Linked DNA regions of Arabidopsis thaliana. The protein of the gene in region 2 interacts with the protein of the main gene of each other region in a pairwise test. Each region holds a gene or a part of one and is shown on either strand. Other genes may lie near its edges.

Evidence for each region. Proteins that work in one complex are often made in the same cells at the same time.
Region 1: the proteins of AT5G56100 (region 2) and CLH1 interact in a protein complementation assay, tested with the Arabidopsis thaliana proteins (one large-scale study listed by BioGRID).

What each region holds. Positions count from the first base shown.
Region 1 is NC_003070.9:6,802,512-6,807,360, forward strand, and holds CLH1 (chlorophyllase 1), read right to left. Parts: upstream 2,582-4,849; 5' UTR 2,413-2,581; coding exon 2,143-2,412; intron 1,990-2,142; coding exon 1,285-1,989; 3' UTR 975-1,284; downstream 1-974. Other genes in the region: AT1G19680 (RING/U-box superfamily protein), read left to right, coding at 3,398-3,728, 3,995-4,026, 4,108-4,849. UniProt on the Arabidopsis thaliana protein: Catalyzes the hydrolysis of ester bond in chlorophyll to yield chlorophyllide and phytol. Shows a preferential activity toward chlorophyll a. Does not seem to be required for chlorophyll degradation during senescence.
Region 2 is NC_003076.8:22,714,734-22,718,776, forward strand, and holds AT5G56100 (glycine-rich protein / oleosin), read left to right. Parts: upstream 1-2,183; 5' UTR 2,184-2,387; coding exon 2,388-2,840; 3' UTR 2,841-3,116; downstream 3,117-4,043. Other genes in the region: COX15 (cytochrome c oxidase 15), read left to right, coding at 1-83, 228-526, 642-867, 960-1,205, 1,299-1,409, 1,485-1,616, 1,696-1,872.

The DNA of each region.
Region 1 (4,849 bases), on a different chromosome or scaffold from region 2:
AATCTCTACAATCACCTATGATAGAAATACAAGAAAGAGTGAAACTTTACCGAAAATTTTCGTAAGATTCGATTGGATAGATCAACAGAGGAACTAAAGGAAGAATCCCACACAGACAGATCAACAAAGAGCAGAGAGAGAGGAAAAAATAGAATCTGTGACTCTGTCAATTTTATCGACTCATGTTTGTTTCAATGACGAATATACCCTTTCACCAATATCTTGCATTTGATTAATGGTCGTGGTGAAGGGATAAAAATGAGAATTCAGTGTCTAGCCGTGATGACGTGAACCGTTAACTCGTGGAAAACTGACAAGTCATCAAGTAACAGTCACCGATTAAATTAAGCCTAATGGACGCCACGTGTACGGCGCCTGTGTCAGGGATGGTTATGGATAAGGTGGTTTTTTTCTTTTTTTCTTTTTGTAATGTTTGGATGTGACTTTAGTGGGATGTGTGGGAAACTGTTTTATCTACTTTGAAAGTAAATGACCAATATGGGCCTAGGCCCATTTAAATATCTACCGGTCCAAGCTTTATGACTCGATCCTTTTCGGCTCATCTCAATTCCTTTCTTCAGCAGGTCAGCTGGTGGTTATAACTAACAATCTTTCGTATATACTAACAATTATAACAAACACACGTGGAACTCGAGAGTAAAATAACCACCACATACACAAGAGTCACGAGACTCACGACGCACCTTTCGTATACAGACAATCTTAGGACCATTTGCCTACAATAAAACCTTAAATGTGGTTTTGTCTCCATTTTGCTGTATCGTTGTCGTAGTGCAGGCCCAAATTAATTTGTCATTGTTGACTTGTTTGTAGAGTTTGGAGCTCTCATTAAATGTTGTAGTGCAGGAGCAAATTTTTCCTTTCTCCTTACGAAAATAAGATCGAAATTGCGATATGTTACAAATACCATTAACTTTAGAATACAACAAGAAAGTTTGAATAAGGGTATGTTACAAAGATATAGAGTTTGTGACGGAGTTAAACCAAATTACATGAATCATTGCAACGAAGTTGAAAAGCTTGGTCACATTTCATTATATAAGAATTATATAGAGAATTATATAGCTATTTAAATGTGTTTAGGTTTTAGTATAAGAAGAAGCTGTAAAGTTTTGGGGTAAAACTATAACAAATGTTTTGATCGAGTTTAATAAAAATACACATGCAACTTAGGACATGAACAATAGCTAGCTTGGAGCTAGAAAACATTGATAGGTTTTTCAAATATTCAAGACCCCTCTGATAATAGTACATAACACAAATCTAGACGAAGATACCAGAAGCTTCTTCCAACTCAGGTGAAGGATCAAGCTTGGCCGGAGAAACGGAAGGATCCTTCACAATCAATCGAATCTCCGCTTTTTCACCCCACAAACTATACTTGAGAAACGCAACCACAATTCCACCTACAAAGCTCCTCATCTCAGACTTTTTTCTTTGCCCATTCTTACACATACAACCGGCCATAAACCCAACAAAACCGGGCAAATCATCGTCCAACATATCCATATGTCCGTAATCCGCAGCCACGAAATGGGCTTTCGTCGCCTTACACTCTTTGTAAAACTCCTCATGGTTTAAGTCCGTTGGTGCGCATGGTGGCATCACGTTGTTCCACTTCGGTCCGAGTCCGGTTCCCACCACTGCAACCGGTATGTCCAGCTCGAAAGATTCCGGTTTATACGTTAAGATATGCGGATCGGTTCTAATGTATTTGTTAGTTCCTGCGACTGGATCAATTCCTATTAGAGCTGAAAACGTGATGGATGGGTCTAATGTTGCGGCATGGCCTAGCGCAACCGCAAACGCCGTTTTCCCACCGCGGCTGTGGCCCACGAGTGAGGTGTATTTTCCATTAGCATTTACCGAAGTTGGTAGGTGAGCTTTGAGGTTTTCCGATGCCCAGTTTATCACACTTCCAGCATCGTCCACTTCCACTTGCCCTCCCGGCGGCAATAATTTGCACAACTGTCATTCAAGAATATAAAATTAACTTATATCTTTTCACGTAACAATCAATCTCAATTAATGTACATTTTGTTTTACATGTTACATGTTACATACCGTAAGTTATCCTTTTAAATGATTCATAATTATTTTTTGTATAGTTAAATTATGTACCTGTGGGGCTACAAGAATGTAACCATGCGAAGCGATGTGGTTAAGAACGTCAGAGTAGAAGTAGTTGCGAAGATAAAAGCCATGGAAGAATAAAACGACGGGATAAGTTCCGGCGACTGTTGGACAGGTGATTCTCACCGGTTTTGGCGGTGCTGTTGAATCATTTTCCACCGGATCCACCGGTATCTCGGTTGTCGGGAGGCTGCCTATCTCAAAAGCCGCCGGAGTTACCACAGAGGAAAACGTTGGACTGTCCTCTATCGCCGCCATTTGTATTAAACTAGATAATTAAAGAGTTGTGTTGAAGATTTATGTATGAATCCTTCGAACTTTAGCTAGTTGTTTTGTATTTATAGGGGGAGAATGTTGATTTTTCTTATCCGATTCATTATAATTCTGTGGTTCTCTCGGCTTCTCATCGTAGTTATAACAAAATGAATTAAATACTTTCGAAAACGATAAATGCATGGGCTGCGTAAACAAAAGAGCATGTGTTGATTCAAATTATTACAAGTTAGTTGGTATACAATTACTCCATGCATTTATCATTTTCGGAGTACAATTTAATTCGTTTCCCGAAAACGATGTGTCCATAAACACATACCAAGACTTACTAAGTACTACTAAAAAATATAATCAAATTGCATTAGGAAACATATTGTTATGTTTGTTAAAAAAAACATTTTGTTATGTTTGTTCAGTAAAAAAAAAAAAAAAATTGTTATGTAAAAAAAAAAGAAACAAATTGACCAAAAAAGTAAAATTTGACCAAAAACAAATAGTAGCACAAGAAAAACAGAGAACAGAAAAAGAAGAGAGGAAGGGTGACGTGGCACAATTTCCCTGCGACGCACCCAACCTCCGTCTCTCTCTCTCTCAGATCGGCGGCCATCTCCGTCGAGTAATTGAAATCTCTCTCAGCCGTTGGATTCGAATTCCGCCGCATCTTCATATACCTCGTTTCAATCCTGCGGAACCCTAGTTGCTCTGGTGAGTCCCTGGTGAACCCCCGGATTTTAGAATCATCTATTGTATTTACTTTAATTCCGTTCCATTGATGATTTCTGCGTTAGATTTTGAGGTCTCTGCCTTCACCTCTATGTATTATAATGGCTCTGATTCGAAGTTCACATTCTGTTTGTTTATATGCAGAATTGTGGTTTGCTACTGTGATAAGTTCTTCAGTGGTAGATTAGGAAGCACCACCAATGGAGATTGTGTAAGACATATTCATTACAGCTCTCTTTTAAGGATTATGGGGTCTGTTTGCTGTGTGGCTGCAAAGGACAGAAATGTTCCCAGTGGAGCTATTGATAATTCAGTGTGTTCACCATCGTGGAGTTTTCGACGGGACAACAGGAGGCGTGTAGCTGATGAGATTAAAGATTCATCTAATCATAATGTTGGGAGTAGAGGTATTGACATCGATAAGTTGTCGTTAGGCTTAGAGAGAGGACCTCCGTCATCTGAAACTGGGGGTTTAGCTACTCTTGGCTCTCAGAAATCCGCAGACTCAGAGATGGGCACAGCTTCGATGGTTACAGCTCCTTTAGCGGGTACAAGTTTGGCGATTCGATCTCCTTCAGGTATGTTCGTTCAAACACTTTTTTTGTGGGGAAAGTGTAGAACTTTCAGTTTCATTGTTTGGGAATATACTGTTGAGTCGATTTTAGTTCCTTCGTGGATGTTCTTTTCCAGTCTACTCAATCCAGTCAAAGGGGTAACAACATTTATTTGGTAGGATTAGATCGAGAGACATTTCATTTTTTGGTAGAGATCATTTCAGCTTTATTTTCTTACTGTAATGAAGGATTTTTTTCCTGTCTCTCATGCATCTATTTTCTCTGGGCAGATGTATCCTTGGCAAGTCCTGTTCGTGTTGAGGTGAGATCATTACTTACTCCAATCAGAGTCTCTTTTCGTCCCTTCAGAGTCTCTTAACCCTCTCGTCTTTTAATTCTTCAGGTGAAGAATATAGTTGACTCATCAGATATTGTTTCATCAGTTTTACCAAATCCGTCAAGTTCCACCTCGGTCTCTGATCTTCCTTCAGCTCACACACATTCACTTCCTCCCAGATCAACTCCGTCTAGACGTGCTCGAGGTTCACCTGGGCAGCAGTTGTTTAGGCAGGTTTCTGATAGTCAAACTTTGGGATTGAAATCTCCCAATAATTACTCAACATCTGAAGGAAGGTCGTCCTTTGTGCTTTCGACCTGTAGTAATGACACTGCCACTGGGTCCCATTTTGCTTCTTCTGAAGGTGGCTGGTCCATAAACGCCTTTTGTGAGCTCGTGGCTCAGTCTCAAAGGGAGAGATGGTCTTTTGATAATGAGCACTTAGGTTCCGGACGACGAAGACTAAGTGGGTGTAGTAGTAGCAGATTCTCATGCTCCCCTTCTGTTGATCAGCAGACTTGTGGGCGTTGCTCAAAGCTTTTAACTGAAAGGTCTCCAGTTGCCAGGTTTGACCTTCCAATTCCTGCTGTTCTAGCGTGCGGCCATGTTTACCATGCGGCATGCTTAGAGACAATGACAAATGAAACAGAGAAGTATGATCCTACGTGTCCCATATGCACAGAGACACAGGTTACTAAATTATCGAGGAAAGCTCTAAAAGCCGAGGCAGAATTGAAGGCAACGAGTTACAAAAGGTGTAAGAACCGTGTGGTAGATAGTTATGTCCGCAGTGAATGTGAGGATCTTA
Region 2 (4,043 bases):
ACATTACAGCTGCTTCTGTAACCTCTGCTTCGTCTTCTCCTTTAGCTGGAAACTCCTTCTATGGCTTGCGATCTCTGCTCAAGGTAGTGTGAATAATTTCCCAAAAAGGTTGATACTTTTTCGTTAAAGGTTGAGACTTTTGATCAGGGTTATGTTAAACTTGAGATTTTTGGTTACTTTTAGAGGATCCTGAGATTGGGCTCTGATCAGGATTATGTTTTGTGTAGGGTCAAAATGCTTCAATGTTTAGGAGGATGTCAACTGTAGCGTCGATAAGCTCAGAGAGTAAAGAGGGTTTGAAGCTTCTTGTCACTGGAGGACCTCAAGCTCAGAAATGGGTTGGAATTTGGCTTTTTGGTTCGGCTGCTTGGGTTTTCAGCATGGTTGTACTTGGCGGTGTAACCCGATTAACTCGATCTGGTTTATCGATGACTGATTGGAAATTTACTGGTGAATTCCCTCCTCTGTCAGATGAAGCTTGGGCTAAGGAGTTTGAGAAATATAAGCAGTCACCTGAATATAAGCGGTTAGTGTTTCGATTTTGGTAGCTAAAGCTGTTGCTTGCATTTGCGTTTTCTGTATTTGGACGAAGTCTTGATCTTGAAAATGCTGTTTGTGTTTTGGGATTTGGTGTTTTGTAGTGTGAACAAAGGGATGAACCTTGAAGATTTTAAGTTCATATATTGGATGGAGTATGCTCATCGAATGTGGGGAAGAGGATTGGGAATCATGTTTGCTTTGCCGTTTTCTTATTTTCTGCGTAAAGGGTATATTACTCTACGTCTTGGAGTTCAGCTCTCTGGTTTATTTGCGCTTGGTGCTGGACAAGGTTTCATTGGTTGGTGGATGGTTAAAAGTGGTTTAGAGGTAAGCATTAGGAAGTGTGGTAGATCCTCTTATTAGATGTTGTTATGTGCTGAATATTGTGTAACCAACCAGTAATCAGTTTGGTCTTGTAGGAGCCACCGTCTGAGTATTCTCAACCGAGGGTAAGCCCATACCGTCTTGCAGCTCACCTGACCTCAGCTTTTGCCATTTATTGTGGACTTTTCTGGACCGCTCTCTCTGTTGTTATGCCTGAACCACCAGCTGAGTCACTGGCTTGGGTTCGCGGAGCAGCTAAAGTGAAGAAGCTTGCATTACCAGTAAGCTTGATTGTTGGTATCACTGCAATTTCAGGAGCATTTGTTGCTGGAAATGATGCTGTAAGTAAACTAACAAAGTTGGATCTAAGCTTCTATTATATTAGTTACAGAAAGGAAGCTTAGTATATTGATCTCTCTGTTTGTGAATTTTAGGGTCGTGCATTCAACACATTTCCCAAAATGGGTGACACATGGATCCCAGATAATATATTTGAGATGAAACCACTTTTACGCAACTTTTTCGAGAACACAGCAACTGTTCAGGTACACCATTGACACAAAGCTTTCTCAATTTGCTTCAAGAATCTCAAAAAGACTGAAAAATTACTTAAATTTCAGCTTGATCATCGCCTTCTGGCAACCACAACATTAATCGCAATCGGAACAATGTGGTGGTTCACAAGGAAGCTAGACATACATCCAGCTGTTAAAGCTTTGATCGGAAGTACTGTTGGAATGACTGCTGTTCAGGTAAAATCAATCATCATAAACTTTAATGGAAACCTAAAATCAAAACCATTGATAAGGTTTCCCTTTTTGTATTTTGCAGGTGACATTAGGTGTATCAACGCTTCTGAGTTATGTTCCGGTTTCACTAGGAAGTGCACACCAAGCAGGAGCTTTAACACTTCTCACTTTGATGCTACTTCTCAATCACACTCTTCGGAGGCCATCACCTTCTCTTCTCAAATCTCTTCCACAAGTTGCTAAATCAAATTTCAGCTAAGCCCTCTTCACCAAAATCTTTCCTTTTTCATTATTTACTAAAAAAACAATTCTTTGGCTCACTATGCTACTAGCAAGCTTTCATCGAATCTTGTGTCAATGATGTTGTATGGTTCGAAAAATAAAGTACAAAAACAATTAACAAAAGTTTCATATGAATCCCAGAACTCTGATAACTTTCATTGATAGCTTCGTGTTGTTTGTTTCATTGCCAATAGAAAATCATTGGATAATTCTAGTTTTAGAGTCAATAATTTCTTATACCAATTTGGTTCAGTGGTAAATTTTAGTTCGGTTTTAGTTTAGATACGATTCGGTTAATTCAGTCCGGTTCAAATCCGTAAGCCTTGTGGTTGTGGATAATGTTTCGAGACAGTTTTTTGGCGTTTTGGATATACAAGACTATCCACGTGTCGTAATACTGTAGCTTATCGGTATCCACGTGTCAGTAGCCTACCATCTTCCTTTCTATATAGCCATGGTACAAAATTCTTTGTTCAACTTCACACTACTACTATGGAGAATCCTGGAGGAAGGAGAAGAAGAGACATAGCCATAACCGATGGAGAAAGAACGACCGGTTCTTCGGTTGTGGCTGCAACCGTAGCAGCTGTTGCAGTGGTAGGACCGCTTTTTGGTCTGATGAGTTTCAGCTTTGTGGCGACGGTGACTCTGTTTCTGATCGCTTCTCCATTGCTGCTGATATTTGCTCCAGCTTTTATGGTAACGGTAGCGGTTCTTGTGTCGGCTATGGTTGGTGTTGGGGTAGCTGCAGCCATGTGGATGATGGGAATAGCCGCTTTGGTATGTTGTGGCCGAGAGATTGGTATTGAAACCGGACTGGCTGGGAGGATGGTTGAGTCGGTGGTGAGAGAATTAGGTTACGGTCGGAGTCGTTACTTGCGAGACAAATCAGAGGATAGTTATTCAACTTCTTCTCCTTCTTCTCGGGATTACTCTTCTTCTTAGTTCAAACTTGGAAAAAGTCTCATGATTCATGGGAATTTCAAGAAGATGGTGAATAAAGAAACAAAAAAAAACAGAGACATGGCTATGATAAGAAAACAAAATTAAGTAGATTTTTTCGAGAGTGAAAATTTGTAATATCTATCCAAAGAAAATCTAGTAATGCTATATCATTTTTTTCAAGTTGTGTTTTTTCCCAAGTCAAGACAAATAGCAAACAGATGAAAACCAAAAATAATAGAATAAATAAATTGTAAGTTTCTTTAGGTCAAAACAGATTGTTAAGTTTAATTGATATAATAATTTTCAAAGATAAAATTAATCACAAGTTGTGGGGGATGGATTATCCGAAGTACAATCACCATGTCTATCTGAATTGTTTGAATTATCCAAATCCACATTATCCGGATTATTATCCATATTATCGAAAACATAGTTTTCCAATTTTTTTTTTTTTTTTTTGATAAAATGTGAATTATATTACCAAAAGGAAAGAGGTTATTTACAAAGCTGGGGGCAAGGAGCTTCTATGGCCAAAAAAAAATAAAAAGCCTTAGATAACTATTACAGAGAAACTGAAACTAATTTTCCAATGTTAACAAGATAAATACATATATGTCTGTAAAGTATAATGTATTAATTATCAATTGATTTTGAATTAGAAGTCTAAGAATTTTATAAGTGTCTCTCATCTAATTTTCAAATTCAAAAGTATACTACTATATCTATTCCATAAATATTACTATATATTTACATTTTGATCGATATTCAAGTTTGTAATAATGTGGATTTACCACTACTTGTTTACAACAAAAGATGACACAAGTAGGGTCCTTCGTGATTTAGAACAAAAGGTACAAGTTCGTACGCGAAAAAGGTACTTCTACAAGATTCTGTGCTTTTCACGAATGCTCTCATAGTCTCACTAATGCACACGAACGCTTTCGCAATATTCTCCGTACTTGTCGGTACTTCACGAATACATTCCCTTACAAAATGAAAAAAAAGTTGTCATAACTTTTTAAAAAAAATCGTGTCATAACTTCAATATGATCACAAATTATATTAAAAAAGAGTACAATTTCACTTCATAATCCAAAGGCTAGTTTGTTATCCAAGTCGTTCTACCAATCCCCAAAATGTTTAAAAGTTGGAGTTTGCATAGAGAATATCAGAAGAATTATATAATCTAAGTGTAAATATATG